3 linked regions of the Ovis aries genome follow. The protein of the gene in region 3 interacts with the protein of the main gene of each other region in a pairwise test. Links are inferred from orthologs where the notes say so. Each region holds a gene or a part of one and is shown on either strand. Other genes may lie near its edges.

What was found.
Region 1: the proteins of FEZ1 (region 3) and PDCD7 interact in a two-hybrid assay, tested with the Homo sapiens proteins (2 studies listed by BioGRID and IntAct). The link is inferred for Ovis aries from reciprocal best matches to the Homo sapiens genes FEZ1 and PDCD7.
Region 2: the proteins of FEZ1 (region 3) and HTT interact in binary tests that used the Homo sapiens proteins (3 or more experiments, as listed by UniProt). The link is inferred for Ovis aries from reciprocal best matches to the Homo sapiens genes FEZ1 and HTT.

What each region holds. Positions count from the first base shown.
Region 1 is NC_056060.1:12,044,552-12,050,449, forward strand, and holds the end of PDCD7 (programmed cell death protein 7), read right to left. Parts: intron 4,000-5,898; coding exon 3,763-3,999; intron 3,500-3,762; coding exon 3,412-3,499; intron 1,776-3,411; coding exon 1,652-1,775; 3' UTR 629-1,651; downstream 1-628. UniProt on the Homo sapiens protein: Promotes apoptosis when overexpressed.
Region 2 is NC_056059.1:116,334,008-116,339,905, reverse strand, and holds part of HTT (huntingtin), read left to right. Parts: intron 1-523; coding exon 524-650; intron 651-2,466; coding exon 2,467-2,567; intron 2,568-3,391; coding exon 3,392-3,546; intron 3,547-3,819; coding exon 3,820-3,959; intron 3,960-4,448; coding exon 4,449-4,531; intron 4,532-4,965; coding exon 4,966-5,093; intron 5,094-5,194; coding exon 5,195-5,324; intron 5,325-5,898.
Region 3 is NC_056074.1:26,390,982-26,396,879, forward strand, and holds part of FEZ1 (fasciculation and elongation protein zeta-1), read right to left. Parts: intron 2,293-5,898; 5' UTR 2,248-2,292; coding exon 1,937-2,247; intron 1-1,936. UniProt on the Homo sapiens protein: May be involved in axonal outgrowth as component of the network of molecules that regulate cellular morphology and axon guidance machinery.

The sequences.
Region 1 (5,898 bases), on a different chromosome or scaffold from region 3:
GCCGAATGAGAGGAAAGGGAATTGTTTTTTCCACCCGAGATTGTGTCTTCTTTTCCTTGGGTTCTGCTGCCTGAGTTTTCCTGAGTCCCTGCTCCATACTCCCTAAGCCCATCAATGCAGGTATCTTCAAAGCAAGGCTCTCTGGAACCAAATATATATTGTACAATTCATCTTTTTTTCTACTTGTCCTACAGCTCACCAGAAAATGGTGGAGACTTATAACAAAAGGGCACACAGGCCTGTGGGGTTATGTGAGCCTGACCACGTCAGATTCTGAGGTTTATGAACTTAAACACACTTTGGAGGAGTGATGGCACTCACACCCTATCTGTTAACTCTGTAGTGCTTAATATAGAAACTTAACAGTGCAAATAAAACAGGGACAAATGTGTTAGTTAGTATCTTGTACCCAAGTGCTTCCAGTTACATGAAATCACTTCCAAAGTTGAGGTGTCCTTTCCTGCTTATCCAGAGCTGGATTCCACATACAAAGTCTAGTGCTTGAGGTTTGCCTTCCTGGAGCAAATGCCTAGTTACTAAATGTGAACTTTATAGTGTGTGTGTTTCAGCAGTGAGAAAGTGTGTACAGTGATTTCGGAGGCAACAAATTGAGGGCAAAGGCTCAAACTAAAAAAATAAAAATAATATTTATTTAGCTTTTTGGAAACAACACAATAAATGACAAAAAAGGAAAACCAAACAAAAAACCTGACAATGTTATATGATTGGTCATCTCCAGGCACAACAGCATTTATTAATGAATATAAAAAATAAGTTTTATTATTTTAATCCACTTCCCCCCTGCCCCCCACTTCAACTATGTATATAATTTTGGAAGCTTGAGTTCCTAAGAAAATTCCACAATTTCCACTCTACTGGCTCCCACAGGGTGACTGAGTGAAGTTGATCAGGGTCGTAATCCCATAAGGAAATTAATTTTTATCGCTGGGGATTCTGAACATCCAGACCTTTAGGAACTTAAGAAGCAGGTGCTTTCATTAGGATCCTTCTAACATGGGGGACATGCAGCCAGCATCCATTAAAACACAATCCAGTTTGGATACAAGCACTCGGCAGGCTTTCCAAGTTCTCCACATACTAGCAGTGAGGCCACCAGCTTTTCTGGCAGCCTAGCCTCTCCAGCTGCACCAAAAGTAGAATTCACAAAACTGAAGATAAAGCCTTCCTTACTTTTCTTCCTGGAAGTTAGGAGGGTCTTTGGGTAAGAAAGGTAAGGAGATTTTGCATCAAGCTTACCTTAACAAGCAGTACTGGGGGAAGGACTGCTACCCAGAGCACACCTGTGCCGAGGATATGCGTGTATAGTGTACTTACCCATTACCACGCGAGAAAGGTACAAGTAAACTTGCAAGTCACTCTAGACGAAGCCCCTCAAAACAGAGGCAAATTCGGTGAACCAAGGCCAGTGCCTGTCATGATAACCTCAGTCCACCTGGGTCTTTTCTTGAAGAATCATATTAATCTCCCGATTCAAGAGGCACCTCTGGATGAGACAGAGGACAGAAGGAAAATGTACCTTCTCGGTAGGGCAATGCCACATGGAGTTTGCTCTGTATCACAAGATGGCAGCATCACTGATACTTAGAGTTGAAAAGAGCCTTGGCTGGACGACACTCCTGTAACATCTTTACTAATGCAGCTTAACAGCGGTTGCCCAGATGTCGTTGCTGGGGAGCGGGGGAAGGACCCATCCTTGAGGAATGGAGCTGCCTTTGGGATGATCAGATGGCACCAGGTACTGATCCCAATCATGCCTTAATAAGAACATTGTAGAACAACTGTTTATTTCTGTCTTATTTCAAGCAAGATGCTAGCAACTAAGTATTCTATTTCAGGACTCTGCTCTCAAACGACTTATATGAATCTACTAATGAACTTAATTTCTAGAAATTATGCAAAAGACTACTTCTTAATGTATATACAAATGGGGTAAAAAAAAAACTCCAAAGAACTCGTATTTTACGGATAACCAAAGAATGAATATAGCGTCAATCATCGATTCTGTTATTTGCAAATTTGCCTACTCACTAAAATTTGTGTAACCTCCCAAATCGTGACTCGTGGTGCTTCCACGGTTAGCTGCTGACACGCACAGCGCAGTGAAAAGCCTGAGTCACCAAAGGGCATGTTCCCAACTGCAGTGGGACACAGTGACACTCTGCCTTCTTGTCTTCAGCTCCCCTAGTCTATTTAGTGCAACACTCTTCACATTTTTGTGCCTTTTATTGGCATTTTGTTGTTTAAAATTGCTCCCAAGTATAGTGCTGGAGTGCTAAAGCTAGCATGAGGAGGCCATGATGTGCCTTATGGACAATATGTGTATGTTAGATAAGCTACCTTCAGGCATCAGTTATATGTTAATGAGTTCAATGTTAATGGATCAAAAATATTAAATAAGGTGTCTTTTAAAAAAGAAAGAAAATTTATATACTGATTGGTTGATGAAATGTTATGGCCAGAGGCTCACAGTAATCTATTTTTCCTTTAGGAGCAGGAGTTCAACATTCTCTAACTCAGCATTTGCAGCTTTATAGAATAGAGCTCCTATGAATAACGAGAATCAACTGTAATATATTTAAAGGCTAAAACTTGTATATTAGCCGGAAATACACTTTTCCCAGAACACTGCTGAACAGCATTGTTGGACCTTTGGAAGGATCCTCAAAGATCACTTGATTTGGCAGTTTTTCAAACTGGGCTTTGAAGACCCTTAGATCCAAGGAGATGCTCTGGGGAGTCTAGAAAGAACAAGGTGCTTCCAGTCACTAACAGATTTAAGCTGCCTGTGGAACCTATCCATCCATTCATTCTGTTATACAAACTGAGTTCTCAAAACACTGCATCTGGGAGGGTACTGCTGTTCACATTTGAAGGCCACAGTCTAAGCCTCCATTTGCATCTTGCAGGTAAGGGAAGCGAGGCTCAGAGCTAAAAACTTTACCCAGCTCATTAGTAACTGCAGATAAAGGTGAGACTCCTTGTTCCTAGCTCTCTTGGGTTTGAACTCACAAGTCAGTCTGGGTCTTAAACAGTCTCCACAAGTAAGTAAGCACACAGGAAGGGTTTCTTTTCCTTGGCCTGTTTAGCCACAGAAGAGAATTAGGAAAAGGAAGTCAATGTTTTAAGTCAACATAACAGCTATAGCATGGGATAACACAGAGGGCAAGTCACAACCCGAGTTTCAGTGTCTTCACCTGTTAAAATAGGGACATGTACTTCTCAAGAGTTGATGAGGACTAAACAAGATGTAAGTGGCACCCTTCGAACTTGGAAACAGTACATAAATTCATAAGAACTAAAAAAAAAAAAGATATAGTAATAGACCCCAACAACATAAGCACTGCCTGTTGCTACCTAAGGGAAAGAAGACGTGGACGATGCCCCTCTCACCTTATCTGGATGAGTGCTGGCAGGGAGTGCTCAGCTTGGAGGTAATACTGCCGGAAAGGCTGCAAGAGATGGGCGAGCGGGAACTCATCTGAAAAAGAAAAGGCACCATGCCATGTCATGCTTAGCGTGCAGAGCATATTTCTCAAGGCAAACTGACTTAGTCTATGATTATACAATAAGATCAAATGTGTCTCACCTTCAGCCCTGATTTCCAGGATATAGTTCAGAATTCAAATCCTAAAGGTGTCACCTGTCATCTACCACCTCTTAGCTTAGGTGGAGATCATCCATGAACAAAAGAGCTGTCAATCTAGTATTTTTCTTTTCTCTACTGGCTACAGAGAAACTTACCTAGATCCCCAAATAACTTGGACTCGATTTCATGCTTCTGAAGTAAAAATTTCTCTTTTTCTTTCCTCTGTTTCTTTTCTAATTCTCTTTTCCTCTCTTCCTCTTGTTCTCCTTCTAACATAACTTGGAGGGCTCTCTCTTCAGCTTCATAGAGTTCAGAGCGCTTTTTAATGAGTTTTCTCAGTCGCTGAAGGTGATGCTCAAAAGTCTCATCTGCTGAGGCTGGAGGACAGACCCCTGGGCAACAAGATCCAAAAGGTGTTTAGATACAACCTCTTCTTATCCCCAAATCCATGTTCTAAGGAGCAGACTCAAAGTCCTACTTCCAGTATGAGTTTGGTTAGAGTTTACAAATTCCAACCAATCTTCGAGACTTAATTTGACCTTTCTGAGTCTTCAATTAATTTGACCCTACCCTGAGTTTCACTAACTCCTCTTTCTGTATCACACCACTTAACCTTTGATTTTGTTTATTTCTAATGTTTTTGACCCTTCAGCTGGACAGTTCCTTTATTAAAGGGAGGAACTTTTATTTCTTCATTGTAAAAACAGCACAGACACCTAGACCCAGTTAATAAATAATTCTCCCTCTGATTGAGTCTGAACTTCTGAGAGTGCACACTTGAGCAGTGAGAAAGAAATACACTTAGCCAACCGCAATAACCTCACAGGCTGCTAATGAGCACAGCACGGCCAACTATTTCATTTGCCCAGTTTTAGCACTGGAAATCCAGTGTCCTGGGGATGGCTGGTCACCCTGATTTGCAGGTCTGATTCTTTTCTCCCTCAACTACTGCAACTAAATGGCTGTGGAATTCGCTCTATCTTCATCTTCAAGGCTAATGGTTCTTCAGATCATTTTGTTAGGATTTCTTTGCTTGAACAAGTTTTCATCCACTCATTCCCACCTATGGAAACTCTACAACTCAAATCCATCTTCTACTAAGTTGATAATTATTTACCAAATACACACAAAATTCTTATGTACTGAGAAACTTAAACTGTCATTTTGTTGCTCTGTAATGAGTTTATGGTTTTGTTTCATTTCTTGACCTAGATCAAGGATTGACAAACTTTTTCTATAAAGGGCCAGACACTGAATATTTTAGGCTTGTGGATCATACAATCTCTGCTACTAAAACTGAAATCTGCCAGTACAGCAAAATATACAGCTAATCCATCAGCCCCAAAGTGCCTCCAGACCCATGAGAAGGTGAGGCCTGTTCCCATCTCAATTTGCTGGGCCACACCAGCCACACTCACATTCCTCAGCCTTTCATGGATGACTTCTCACTACCCCGACACATTCTCTGAAATGGCACTTCCCACCAACCCTCTTCCAGATCCCCTGCACTGACATGATCTGGGTTAGATGAGATCCTTCCACTGTCTACCATTACTTCTCTAGTTCAGGCAGCTCCCAGATACCAATGCCTTCTCCCTTATTCCCCTTTATTTCCCTTGAGGCCACCCATGCCTGAGAGCCTCGCCCACTCTTCAGACCTTGGCATAATTAGAAAAAAGATTCCACCCTTGAGGTCTTAAATCCAATTATTCTCTTCTCTGGCTTTCTACCTGAGACTCCATTAGTTTCACTAAAACCTCCAATCTGGGAATTCCTTGGTGGTCCAGGGCTTAAGACTCTACACTTCCATTGCAGGGGACATGGGTTTAATCCCTGGTTGGGGAACTAAGATCCTACATGCCATGCAGTACAGCCAAAAAAAATTAAAAACAGACAAAACAAAACAAAACCCAAACTAACAAAAACACCCCTCCAGTCTATCAGATTTCTCCACACTGTGTGGTCACCCATAAAGCAAAACGCCAAGAGCTCTGTGCTCTGTGCTCACCTGCCAGATGCACGCCCGTGACTGTGTGACCTGGTGCCAGCGTGCACGCTCGTCAGCTCTGCCCACAACAGCACCTCTCTGCAGCCAGATTCCCATGCATCTCTGGTTGGCTCTCATTCGTTTCTCACAGCAACTACTTCAAACCGGCAACTGCTCTCCTAAAGCCTTCCTTCTCTACTCTAAGCAACCCATCTAGCATTTTCCCTAGACAAAAAGAGGCCATCGGGCAGGAAATTCCTTAACATTTTTTTCCCCTGACTTTGCTCATTTGCCTTACTACCCA
Region 2 (5,898 bases), on a different chromosome or scaffold from region 3:
GGGGAAGAAGTCCCACTGGGGGCTCCTTCTGAGAGAAAGCCCAGCAGCTGCTGTCCTGAGGTCACCGTGGAAATGGGAGGAGAGCCGGGGAGCTGGTGCCACCCTCGGGCCGTCCCCGCAGGTGTTGAGCCTTTGGGAGGGAGTGGGGAGCAGATACAGGAAGGCACAGTCCGGAGGCCCTGCTGTCTGGCCCGCACAGACCACGCCCCGTAGGCGAGGCTCCTTGCGCGAGTGCTGCACCCCACGCAACTCCCTGAGAGTGCCAGAGGCACTGGAGCTGCTGCACCAGGGGCCGGACTCGGGGACCCAGCGCGAGCCCTGGCTGGTGGCTCGCACCCTCGAGGGGCCGGCTGGGAGCTGGGCTCCTGCCGCTGGAGCAGCGCCGGACGACAACGCTGGACTCGGAGAGCTCCCCCGTTCAACCGTGTCTGCAGCCAGGGAGCTGTCGGGAGAGAAGGCGCATTTTCAGGTGCCCTCCCTGTCCGGCCACCCTGCCTTCACTGTTTCTCTCCCACCCTCTTAGGTATGGAAACTCGGATGGTCACCCAAACCGGGCGGGGATTTCGGCACAGTGTTCCCTGAGATCCCCGTGGAGTTCCTCCAGGAGAAGGAGGTCTTTAAAGAGTTCATCTACCGCATCAACACGCTGGGTAGGCCGGGGCCCTGTGGGCGCATCGCCCTAACACAGCTGCCGGGAGCCGGGGCGGTGGTGGGATCTGCCTTCTTTTATTCCAGGGAGGAGTTGAGGCAGGACACAGTCGTGTGCGTATGTTCTGTAATACACACAAAGCTGTCACGGTAACGGAGTGTGTGTGCATGTGTGTGTGAGAGAGCGTTTCTTTCCCCGTGTTCAGATCAGGTCAGGCGGTGCCCCCTTGATGGGCGGTACTGAGCCGGGTTCAGCCTGTGTCTCCGCCCCTCGGCTGGAGGGTGCGGGGTTCCCTGCGGGAGCCACCTGTAATCACTGCCACCCTGACCCCTGTGTGCCAGGCAGAGCGGTGTGCTCCATGAGGCAGGGCAGGCCACTTTGACCCCTAGGACTGCGCTTCTGCCGTCCATGGCATGAGGGTGGCGACTGTTTCCCACAACTGCTGCAACCTTAGAAACGGAAGGGGCCCTGATGCACGGCGTCCCCGTCAGCAGCAGGGCCCCAGGCTTCGCTCAGGACGCCGCCTTGCTGCCTGCAGCGTAGCAGAAGCTTACCCTCTTCGTCCACGTGTCGTGGCTGGGGGTAGGCCTGGTGCGTGAGCGCTGTCAGTGGCAGAGGCTGGGAGGCTGCGCCCAGCGTGGCGACTCCACCGCGGCCCCAGCCCCACGTCGGGCCCCTCCGCCCAGCGCCCGTCCTCTCTCAGCCTCCATGGGGTCTGTGCTGCGATGACCCTGGGGCGTGGGCCGGCAGACACCGCGCTGCCACCTCTCCTCCCTGAGTCGAGCGGTGAGCGAAGCCTGAGCAGCAGTCTGAGGCCGCTGCTTTCGGAACTTCCCCGCCCTCTCCCCAGCGGCCCCCCGCCTCCCGCAGCCCGCCCGACCCCCGTGCCCCTGTGTCTCGGGTACCTTCCCGTCTGCGTAGTCAGTCCCCGCGTGCCTGGAGGCAGCCTGCAGGCTTCTCCGGACGCCTGCTTCGCTGTTGCCCATTGTCCTTGTTGCTCCCCTTTCCTCCCACGGGAGTCAGCGCGTGTCTGTCTGGACTTCCCGTCTCAGCTTGTGTGTCTGTCTGATCCATACCTGAATCAGCCGCTCTGTCTGTCCATGTGCAGGTCACCAGAGAGTTCCTGACATTTGAGGCTTTGGTTTTCTGTCCTCGGCACCCCATTCTTGCCCCTTGTAGTGTTGATTCAAGTGGCATGGCCTCCTCCCTCCTAGGGTCCCGGCCCTTGGGATAACTGCTCACCCAGGACCACCTTGGGAGCGCCTTGGGACAGTGGTGCTTGAGAATGGCCCCCGAGACGCCCTCCTCACGGACTGGACTTCCCCCATAGATTACACTCTGTCTCGACCTCCCGTCCTTCTTGAGGGGCCAGGGCAGCCATTGCTCTGAGCTTCGATGGCGCTGCCCTGACGTAGAGTTGACATGGCAGCCCGTGCATCCGTTCGGGTGTGGTTCCACGGTGGAGGCTGGACACACCCACACGGGCTGGGGGTGTGACTCTACGTAAGGCTGTCCCAGCCCCTGCTGAGCAGGGCAGAGGGCGCTCTGACCCCATCTGAGCGTCACCCGCTCAGACATCCACACAGCAGGGTCCAGAGGGTGCTTTGCACCAGGCCACCTGGGCTGAACTCAGCCGTGTCGGTCTACTCACCACTGGGCTCGGCCGGCAGTGAGGCTGCACCGCAGTGCCGTCCTGAGGCTCTGGGCAGTGGCTGTGTGGGCACCTGGCCAGCGAGAGCCACGGTGCCCACTGCCCCGTCTCGCAGAGAAGGCAGAGCAGTGGGGACCCTCTGTCTAAAGCGACACTCGCGTTCCAGGGTGGACCAGCCGCACCCAGTTTGAGGAGACATGGGCCACCCTCCTCGGCGTCCTGGTGACTCAGCCACTCGTGATGGAGCAGGAGGAGAGCCCCCAGGAAGTAAGGCTGCGCGCAGGGTCCAGGGCAGCACGCCCTTCCACCTGTCTCACCCGGGTGGTAAACGGGTGGCCAGTCACATCCTGGCCGGTGTTCCAAGGTCTGGGTGCTCTAGGATCATGGCCCAAAGGCGTTAACCACAGCGTGCTGCCTGCAGGCCGCAGGACTGTGTCCTTCCTTAAATGTATCTCACGTTCTGCTGCTCAGCATCCAGGTATGGTGTGTAGCAACGTTTCATCAAAAAGGAAAGGCGTGTCTTAGAGGCCACACGTGATAACTAGTGTTGATTTCTCTTGACTTGTTTTCCAAAAATTTTATGGGGCCTGGAGTGTTAGTGCATATTGTGGTACTTTAAGAAGACGTGCTCTGATACAGGAAAGCCTGAAACATTAAAAGCTGTCAGGTTCGCGTTCTTCAGATAGAAGGTGTGGTGTGAAGCGGCAGAAGTGGCGGTTCAGAGAGTGTGTGTGTCAGGCGTCACCAGGAGTGACGTTCGCCGGAGAGGAGCCAGCGGCTCGTCCTGTGCAGGGCCCCTAAAATCGGTGAGGAGATTGAGGACAGTTTCTTAAGAAGTAATTCATATTTGGAGCTTTGTGCTTGGAGGAAAGCTGGCTTGGAAAAGCAACCACTTGCCCATCAGATTTATCTCAAATCACAGATGTGTGTGGATTCTGGTGAATTTAGGCAGATGCTCCAGGACCCCCGCCGGGAAGGCACATCTGTCTGTCCGCTCGGGGCCCGTGCCTGTGAGGCCGCCTGGCTAGGCAGCCCCAGGGGAGGTAGTGTGCTGCGGTATGCGCCTTGGTAACCTGGGGCTCTCCTTCCAGGAGGATGTGGAGAGGACGCAGATCCACGTCCTGGCCGTGCAGGCCATCACCTCCTTGGTGCTGAGCGCGATGACCGTGCCCGTGGCCGGCAACCCGGCCGTGAGCTGCCTGGAGCAGCAGCCCCGGAACAAGCCCCTGAAGGCCCTCGACACCAGGTGGGCCCGGGAAGCACGTGCCCAGGGCACGGCCGCGTGGGAGCAGGGAGGCGCTGGGGCGCCCTCTCCTTTGCTGCCAGGGTGGTTTGGTGGCTGAGGCTGACGACCTGGCCTCTGGTGTCGGGGGCCGGCTCCAGTGGAGCTAAGGGGGCGCCTGTGCAGGGCCCGAGGGCCTTGGCTGCACCGTTTCCTGGCAGCGAAGCTGGGAGTCAGGGGGTTCACTTTGAAGATTTTGGAGGAGCTGGGTGCCGGTAACCTTTGCTCTGAACTTAGGTTTGGAAGGAAGCTGAGTGTCATCAGAGGGATTGTCGAGCAGGAGATCCAGGCAATGGTTTCCAGGAGAGAAAACGCCGCCACTCACCACCTGTACCAGGCGTGGGACCCCGTCCCGTCTCTAGCCCCAGCCACCACAGGTTCCAGGGGCTCGTGGGGGGGTGGGTTGCGTGGGGGTGTCAGCCGCTCCTTGTGCCCGTGAGCACGGCTGGACTGTCCCAGTGCCAGGGTGGGGGCTCGGTGGGCACCTTGTCAGCGACCACTAACACTCCAGCTTTTGCAGCTCAGCCCACAGCCAGTTCCCGTTCAGTCTGGTTTGTTATGGAGAAAAAGTGATAGTTCTCATCACCCTGCTGGTCCTGCAGCTTCATATGCTGTGCGGGGACGGACTCCCCACTGAGGGGGCACTCAGGGCTGTGCGGGACGGACTCCCCACTGAGGGGCACTCAGGGCTGTGCGGGGACAGACTCCCCACTGAGGGGGCACTCAGGGCTGTGCGGGGACGGACTCCCCACTGAGGGGGCACTCAGGGCTGTGCGGGGACGGACTCCCCACTGAGGGGGCACTCAGAGCTGTGCGGGGACGGACTCCCCACTCTGCGGGGACACTCATGCATCCTTGCCCTGCAGGTGCTCTCATCAGCCATGACAAGCTGCTGCTGCAGCTCAACCCTGAGCGTGAGCTGGGGGACATGAGCTACAAGCTTGGCCAGGTCAGTGCCCGGCAGGCGGCCAGCGGGGCCGGTTCCTCCCCACCCTCCCTCCAGAGCTAGCTGACTGTCCCCTGCGTGGGTAGGGGGCTTTGTTACATCATTCAGAAACACGGGCCCACACGTGTTGTCTGGTGAGAGGACCGGTTTAGAACAGAGATCCCACCTTCTGGTTCCATTTTGTGTCAAGACCTCACCCTGACGTCCTTCAGCAGCCAAGTTTCCTTTTTCTTTCTCAACGTTCCCTTTCTTAGTGGCGCTTCCCCCTCCTCAGCTGCTCCCAGGGGCGTCATTTGGGGTCTTAAGCCGCGAATCCCTGAGGGTCTGACTAGCCCTGCCCGGGGACGGGGGTTGGTGCTTGCCTCAGAGACCCCCAGTAGGCCCGGCGCCCCTTGCCTCCAGCACCTGAGCACCACCCCATCCCATGTCTCCTGAAGGTGTCCATCCACTCGGTGTGGCTGGGGAACAGCATCACGCCCTTGCGAGAGGAGGAGTGGGACGAGGAGGAGGAGGAGGCCGAGGCCCCAGCACCGTCGTCCCCGCCCACGTCTCCGCTCAACTCCAGGTTCCCTCTGCCTTCTGTCCAAGCGAGCGGGAGCTCCCCCCAGTCCCTTGTTTGGGGGCCTCTTGAAACAAACCTCTCATCTCTTTCGGGGGAAATTGCAGGAAACACCGGGCTGGAGTCGATATCCACTCCTGTTCGCAGTTTTTGCTCGAGTTGTACAGTCGCTGGATCCTGCCATCGAGTTCCGCCAGGAGGACCCCCGTCACCCTGATCAGCGAGGTGGTGCGCTCGGTGAGTGCCCTGCCCGCCCCTGCGGTGCCCGGGCCCCGCGCGGAGACTCGGGATGTTGTAGTGCTTCTCAGGCCAGGGAAGGGGCTGCCTCCACAGCGCAGAGCCGGGCAGGCACGCCCCAGCCCAGTGGCCACATCGTGGAATCGGCACGGGACCGCCTGTCCTCGCAGCGCTGTCTCCTCGGGCCTGTGACAGACGTACCTCCCCAGCAGCCAAGCACCCATCCGGGCGGTTGTTGTCCAGGGGTTGGGCTCAGAGTCCTTCACGTCCGGGAGCTCGGAGGGGCCACCAGGAAGTGTAGCTTCCTGTGTGCAGCACCTGTTAGTCCTCGCAGTGTTGAAGTCACACCTGAGAGGTTTGAAAAGTCGCTTACTCGGTGCCTTCTTGTCACGTGGGTTACGTCCAGAAGGAGGGCCACCCGGGACTGGACTGTTCTTTTTATCTAAAGGTGTCTCCTTTTGGGAATGACTTTCTTTTTTTTTCAAGCTTGTTTTTCTCAGTATCCCTTTAAAGGTTTCATATTTGGTCAAGTTGATATTTTTAAGAACCTCGTTTTTAACTTGTAAGTTGCAAA
Region 3 (5,898 bases):
AAGTCAGAGAAATCAGGATAAGACCAATAATCCCATGTGACAGTAATTAACATTGAGTGGCCTCTGCTAATGTGCTAGAAAAGGGTAAGAACCTGGTTGTTGAACCTCTGTCCTTAATGAGGCAGAGGGTGGTTTAGACAAGGAGACATGATCTGTTGGAAGCAAAAGGAATTTTCAGAGCACAGCCTGGGTGAGGTGAGAAATGAGGCTCTTAGCCAGTCCTTAGCCCTGCCTCATCGAAACTGAGCTCCAAAGGTTCCAAAGATGAGCACCATCACATTCAACCAGAGTTAAGCGATGAGCCCAAGGTCACACAGTGAGTTAGTGAGAGTGTGAAAATGACAGCTCATAGTGTTTCTAGTCCATTGCGTGCTGCAGTGAACTATGGTCAAAGAAGCTCTGTATTATAATAAAGCCCCAGAAACATTCTTTTTTGACCTCGAGGAGCTGAGCAAATTGTAACAGGCTCCAAATCTAAAAAATCAGCTTGAAACTTAAAATTGAATTGAAACACATAGCCCACAGTCACAGTATTGGTCACCAGAGTGAAATGTCCTCTGTGATCGTACCTTCAGGCTAGCATTAATTAAAAAGAAAAGGAGGAAATGCATTATGTGTACCTATGAGGCTAGCTATTATTGCTCATCCAGGTCATTCAATATTCACTCAAAAAACATGATTTGATCACTTACTACATACCACTCACTGTGTCAGATACTTGAGACAGAATAACGAGTAAGGCAGACAGACAGACAGCCCTAATATTCACAGACAGACGGTCTCAGTAGTTTTCAGATAAGCAACTATCTGCCAAATATAATCGGGTTCAATCTTGTAGTGCAGAGGTTCCCAGTCTTTTTGGCACCAGGGACCAATTTTGTACAAGACAATTTTTCTACAGACCGAGAGTAGGGAAGATGGTTTGGGGATGACAAACGCATTTCATTTCCTGTGTACTTTATTTCTAATCTAATACCACCGCTGATCTGACAAGAGGTACCAGTCCACAGCCCGTAGGTGGGGGACCCCTGCTGTAGAAGGGGTCTTCTTCCCCCACTTACTTATGGGCAACTTTTCCCACCCAAGCACATAAAAAAGAGAAACCAGAAGTGCAGTTGCTCTTTTGACTGAAATTTCCACTACCAACTACTCGACATTTCCTGTGTGATCCCTAAAGAATAGTTGATGCATATTTTATCCCTATGGGGAATTTATGCCTATTTTTACTAAATATCCCAAATACCTTTAATTCATATAACAAACACCCTCTCCTCTTTCTAGTCCCTCCTTGAACAGCACTTTTTTTCAAATCTTTGTTCCTGACTTCTGCTAAGACCCCAGAAGGTGACTATTAAGTGACACAGGGAATACTCAAAAGCCATTTCACCTGCTTATCATTTTTGTTTTGTCCAGGGTAAGTCCCCAATCTCTTGGTTCAATGTTCATACTTTCTTATTTGGACTTAACTTTTGCAGATAATCTTTCCAGTTCTGAGGGGGTGTAAACAACTTGGAGATTTTCACAGTTTTGGTGTTTTGTAAAGAAAATTGTTTCAACAACATAGTTCCTCTCAGTTCATTTTTTTTTTCTTGCCCTTATCTCTAATATCTGGATGGACTGTTACGATATAAAGCAAGCTGAAAATAGACAGACCCCCAAATTTCCCATGCTCCTGAATTTTGATTTTGTATCTAGGGAAATCTCTTTCCTAAAAATACTTTATTCCTTTGCGGTTTCAACTTAAGAAAACTCTACAGGTGACAACTGTAAAGGGATATAATGGAACGAGGTTAGCAGTTTCCAGGGTGCAGTCTCACTGATACAAAAATATAAGTAATACACCATAAACCCAAGGATAGAAACTCATTCTATGTCAAGGAGCGCCGGACGCCAGGGCTCTAATCTGAGACAACAGGGAACAACTGAGACGCCTTACTCCTCATCCTGCAGGGTCTCCTCCTCCTCTTGAATCTGGAACTGGTTCTTCACGGGAGCGAGGTTCTCGGTCTTGGCGTTGTAGTTCCGAAAGCAGACGTTGAGCTTCTCGTCAAATTCATTCACCAGGTCCTCCATGGACTTGAAGCTGATGATCTCAGAAGAGAAATTCTCCAGCTCAGATAGGGAGGGGTCCTCGAGATGGTGGGGAGATGAGCCGTAGAAACACCGGGGCTTCTCCTCGGGGTCTTCCGAGCAGCAGGGCCGAAGGTCCTCAAATTCTTCATCCAAACTCACCAGTGGGGCCTCCATCCTTGCACAGCAATCAGAAAACTGCAATGTTCAGGATTCGCTTATCTGGAAGAAATAGACACGGTAATGTGAGTTTGGACTGGGCTTTTCTGCCAGCTCTGTTGAGGAGCCACAATCACTTATTACATAATCACTCATTACTCTCAGCCCCTAAAAACAAAGACCTTGCTTTACTGGCTCCATTGTCTGTGCTTCCTCACTGTTATACCCTTAAGGAGTGCGAATGTCATTATCATTGTGAATAATGGTAACTTAATAAGCATGCATTTTGGAGACACACCTGCTCCCATTCCCTGCCCCCCAAAACAAAGCCTAACTTTAACAAAGGTTAAAGAGGCAGGCCCCCTAGACCAGGCTGCCGAGGCGTGCATCGGCTCACTCCTTAGCTCCTGCCCAGCGGCGATCGCAGCAGTAATTTAACTTCTCTCTGATCCTCTTTTATTCTCCTTAAGACAGAAATAATAGCAGGACCTACCTCAAAGGGCTGTCCTAAAGGTTAAAGGAGTGCCTAGAAGAGTGCCTGGGAGATAATAAACGATGATGTTGTTCAATTTATGTTCTTTGTATTGTGATGGTGATGATTAACATAGCACATCCTTAACCATGTGCTCTCGAAACTGGGAGGTTTGTGGGACTGCCCTGCTGGTCCAGTGGCTAAGACTGCATGTACTCCCAAGGCAGGAGGCCATGGTTTGATCCCTGGGATCTAGATCCCACATGTCAAAACTAAGGGTCTGCGTGCTGCAACTAAGACCCGGCACAGCCAAATAAACAATTTTTAAAATTTTTAATAAATATTGAAAAGGAACTTCCCTGGTGGCCCAGTAGTTGAGACTCCACACTTCCAACGCAGGGGGAATGGGTTTGATTCCTGGTCAGGGAACTAAGATCCTACATGTGGTACAGCACAGCCAAAACAAATAAATAACCTGGAAGTTTTCCATTACTTATTTGGTGGCAAAACCTGCCATGACCTAAACTCATTTGCCAACTAAACCTGATATATATGCTTATAGAGCTGTTTATGGTTTTAATGTATCCCATTTAGTGTATTATGCTGCAGAAATTTTTAATTTTTTTAAAAAATTATAGAGATGGCTGCCCCAGCCCCCAGGGGATGATATGCAGACTATGCACTCTATTACTAAATTCCAAACCCTGAGATCATCTCAATTCTGAAACATGCCTGGCCCCAGGGGTTTTGGACAGGGCTTCATGGACCTGGGTGTTACTACTCTCATCAATAAACGGTGGACTAATAGAGTACTAATACAGACTTTCATACGAGCACCTGAGTTTTTTCCAGATACACAGCTTATGTCTGTAACTAGAAGAGTGGATTAGTGACCTGTAAGAGAGAGACCCAATGACCCATGTCCTCCAAAGCCAGACTTCACAGCAACCTGGGGCACTGCACCCCAGAAGGCTGTACATTCAGGCCTCCCTTCATTTCCCAATAGCTCCGGGCCTTCAGCTGTGATTTATCCATCTGTATGTATACAACCAAGCCCTTCCCCAATTTTAATTTAAATTCCTCGAGGACACGGACATCCTCTGGATACCCTCCACTGTTTCTAGCACACACGGCCTGCGGGGAGGCAATCAATCAATGTGTGCTCACTGACAAATGATCTTCCGTCCCCCTCACAGAGTTTTCATTTTCCACTGCAGGCAACACAAGCTCATTGTCTACCATGCCCTTCTCTACCTACTCCCGTTTCCTTCCCTGGAACACAGCAAGGCAACCAAACTTCTGTCTCTTATCTGTGTGATGACTGATCCAGCCAGATGCTTAAATTGGAACCACTACCCAAGGAGAAGCAAACAGAGAGCAAAAACCATCCTGCACCCCTACCTTTAAAACTAAAATTCTACATAAGCAAGGCAGATGGCATGCCAGGTAAGGACCTGGACAGTCCTTCCGGGGATTTTACTGGGATTGAGTCAGTTACCACCACATCTCAACAAAACGCATTCTGAGTATTTATAGTTTGCAAAGCCAACGTGATAAGACCTCAAAATACAAAAAGATACAAAAGCAGTATGACAGCTTAGGAAGAACACAGGGTCAAGAGTCAACAGACCTGCCAATGCCTGACTGAATGAGAAGTACTGTAGGTCTTGATTTCCTCAACTGTTAAAAAGAAAGTGTTGAAAAAAAAGTGTTGGTATAGAGCTAATACTTTTGGAAGTCACTTTTAATAACATATTAACATAATTAATAATTTAACTGTATATTTTAATAATATAGTTTAATCCAATATATCCCAAATATTACCATTTCAATATCTAATCCAAATTTTTAAATATTAATGAGACATTTGTCACTGTTTTTTCATACTAAGTCTTCAAAATATAGTGTGCATTTTACATTCACATTATGTCTCTATTTGGATCAGTCAAATTTCAAGTGTCCACCAGCCACATATGGCTAGTGGCTACCATATCAGACACCCCAACTATTAAGTAATACACAACTAATTGCCAGTTAGAGGTTCCTCACCTATGGTCAACAGACTCCTGAGGGTTCTTTGAATATACCACATTTCATTTTTTTGCATTTAAAAGCATATTTCAGGGAATTCTCTGGTGGTCCAGTGGTTAAGACTGTGAGTTTCCACTACCGGGGGCAGTTTTGATCCCTGGTTGGGCCACTAAGATTCCACATGCTTCTCAATGTGGCCAAAAAAAATAAAAGAAGAGAGATAAAATCATATCCTGAGAAAGATCCCAACGGGCTCCTCTACAATGCTAAAGTGGCTCATCTCACAAAAAAGATTAGGAATCCCTGAGTGCCAAAAGAGTGAGTTTAGAAAAGATCACTCAGTGTGACAGAAATTAAGGAAAGGTTTACAGATGAGAGATTTGTATTGAGAGAGCCCCAGGTTCCCATCCTGGTCCTATCACTTCCCAGCTTTGAGACTCTGGGCAAATTATAAACCTCTTTGACTTCATTTCCTCATCTGTAAAATGGGATTTACAATAGTACTTATATTGGAGGTTTCTTTGTGCAGTAAATGAGACAATCTTTGAAGTGTTAAGCATAATGTATGGAATACATGAAGTGTCCAAAAATGTCAATAATATTAGGAAAGCAAAGATAGTTACACGAAAATGTGAGGTGACAGTGCTTCAAGTAAGAAAAACTATCCTTGCCAAGATATTCCCTGTGTGATGCTTCAAAATGCTTATCAAAAGAGAGAACTATCGCTGAATGAATGTTACCATGCTTTTTACTAAGGCACTCCTGCTATTTTCAATTCATGTGGTCAAAGCCTCTCAGATCACTGGTTCCATTTCAGCAAGACATGAAAGCTAACCAGCTTGTATTCCAAATATTCACACTTCCTTTAAATCTGTACTCTTCCTAGAGGGGACAAGGGAGCTGGCATGAGAAGGTATACCAAGGAGGATGTTGACTGCAAACAACAGAATCTATCCCATCAACCAGTAACGAGAGGGCAATCCAATAGGAATCTAAGACTACAACTGAGTTTTGAGTGATGGCAACAAGGAAGATTATTCTGAAAGCACCTGTCCTCAGCACAGGCTTTAGAGAAAATGGATTCACCTAGAAGATTATAAAAGAAGAAATGGATATCACCACTCACTCTGGAGTTCAGAAACATGATCACTGGGAAACTCACAATA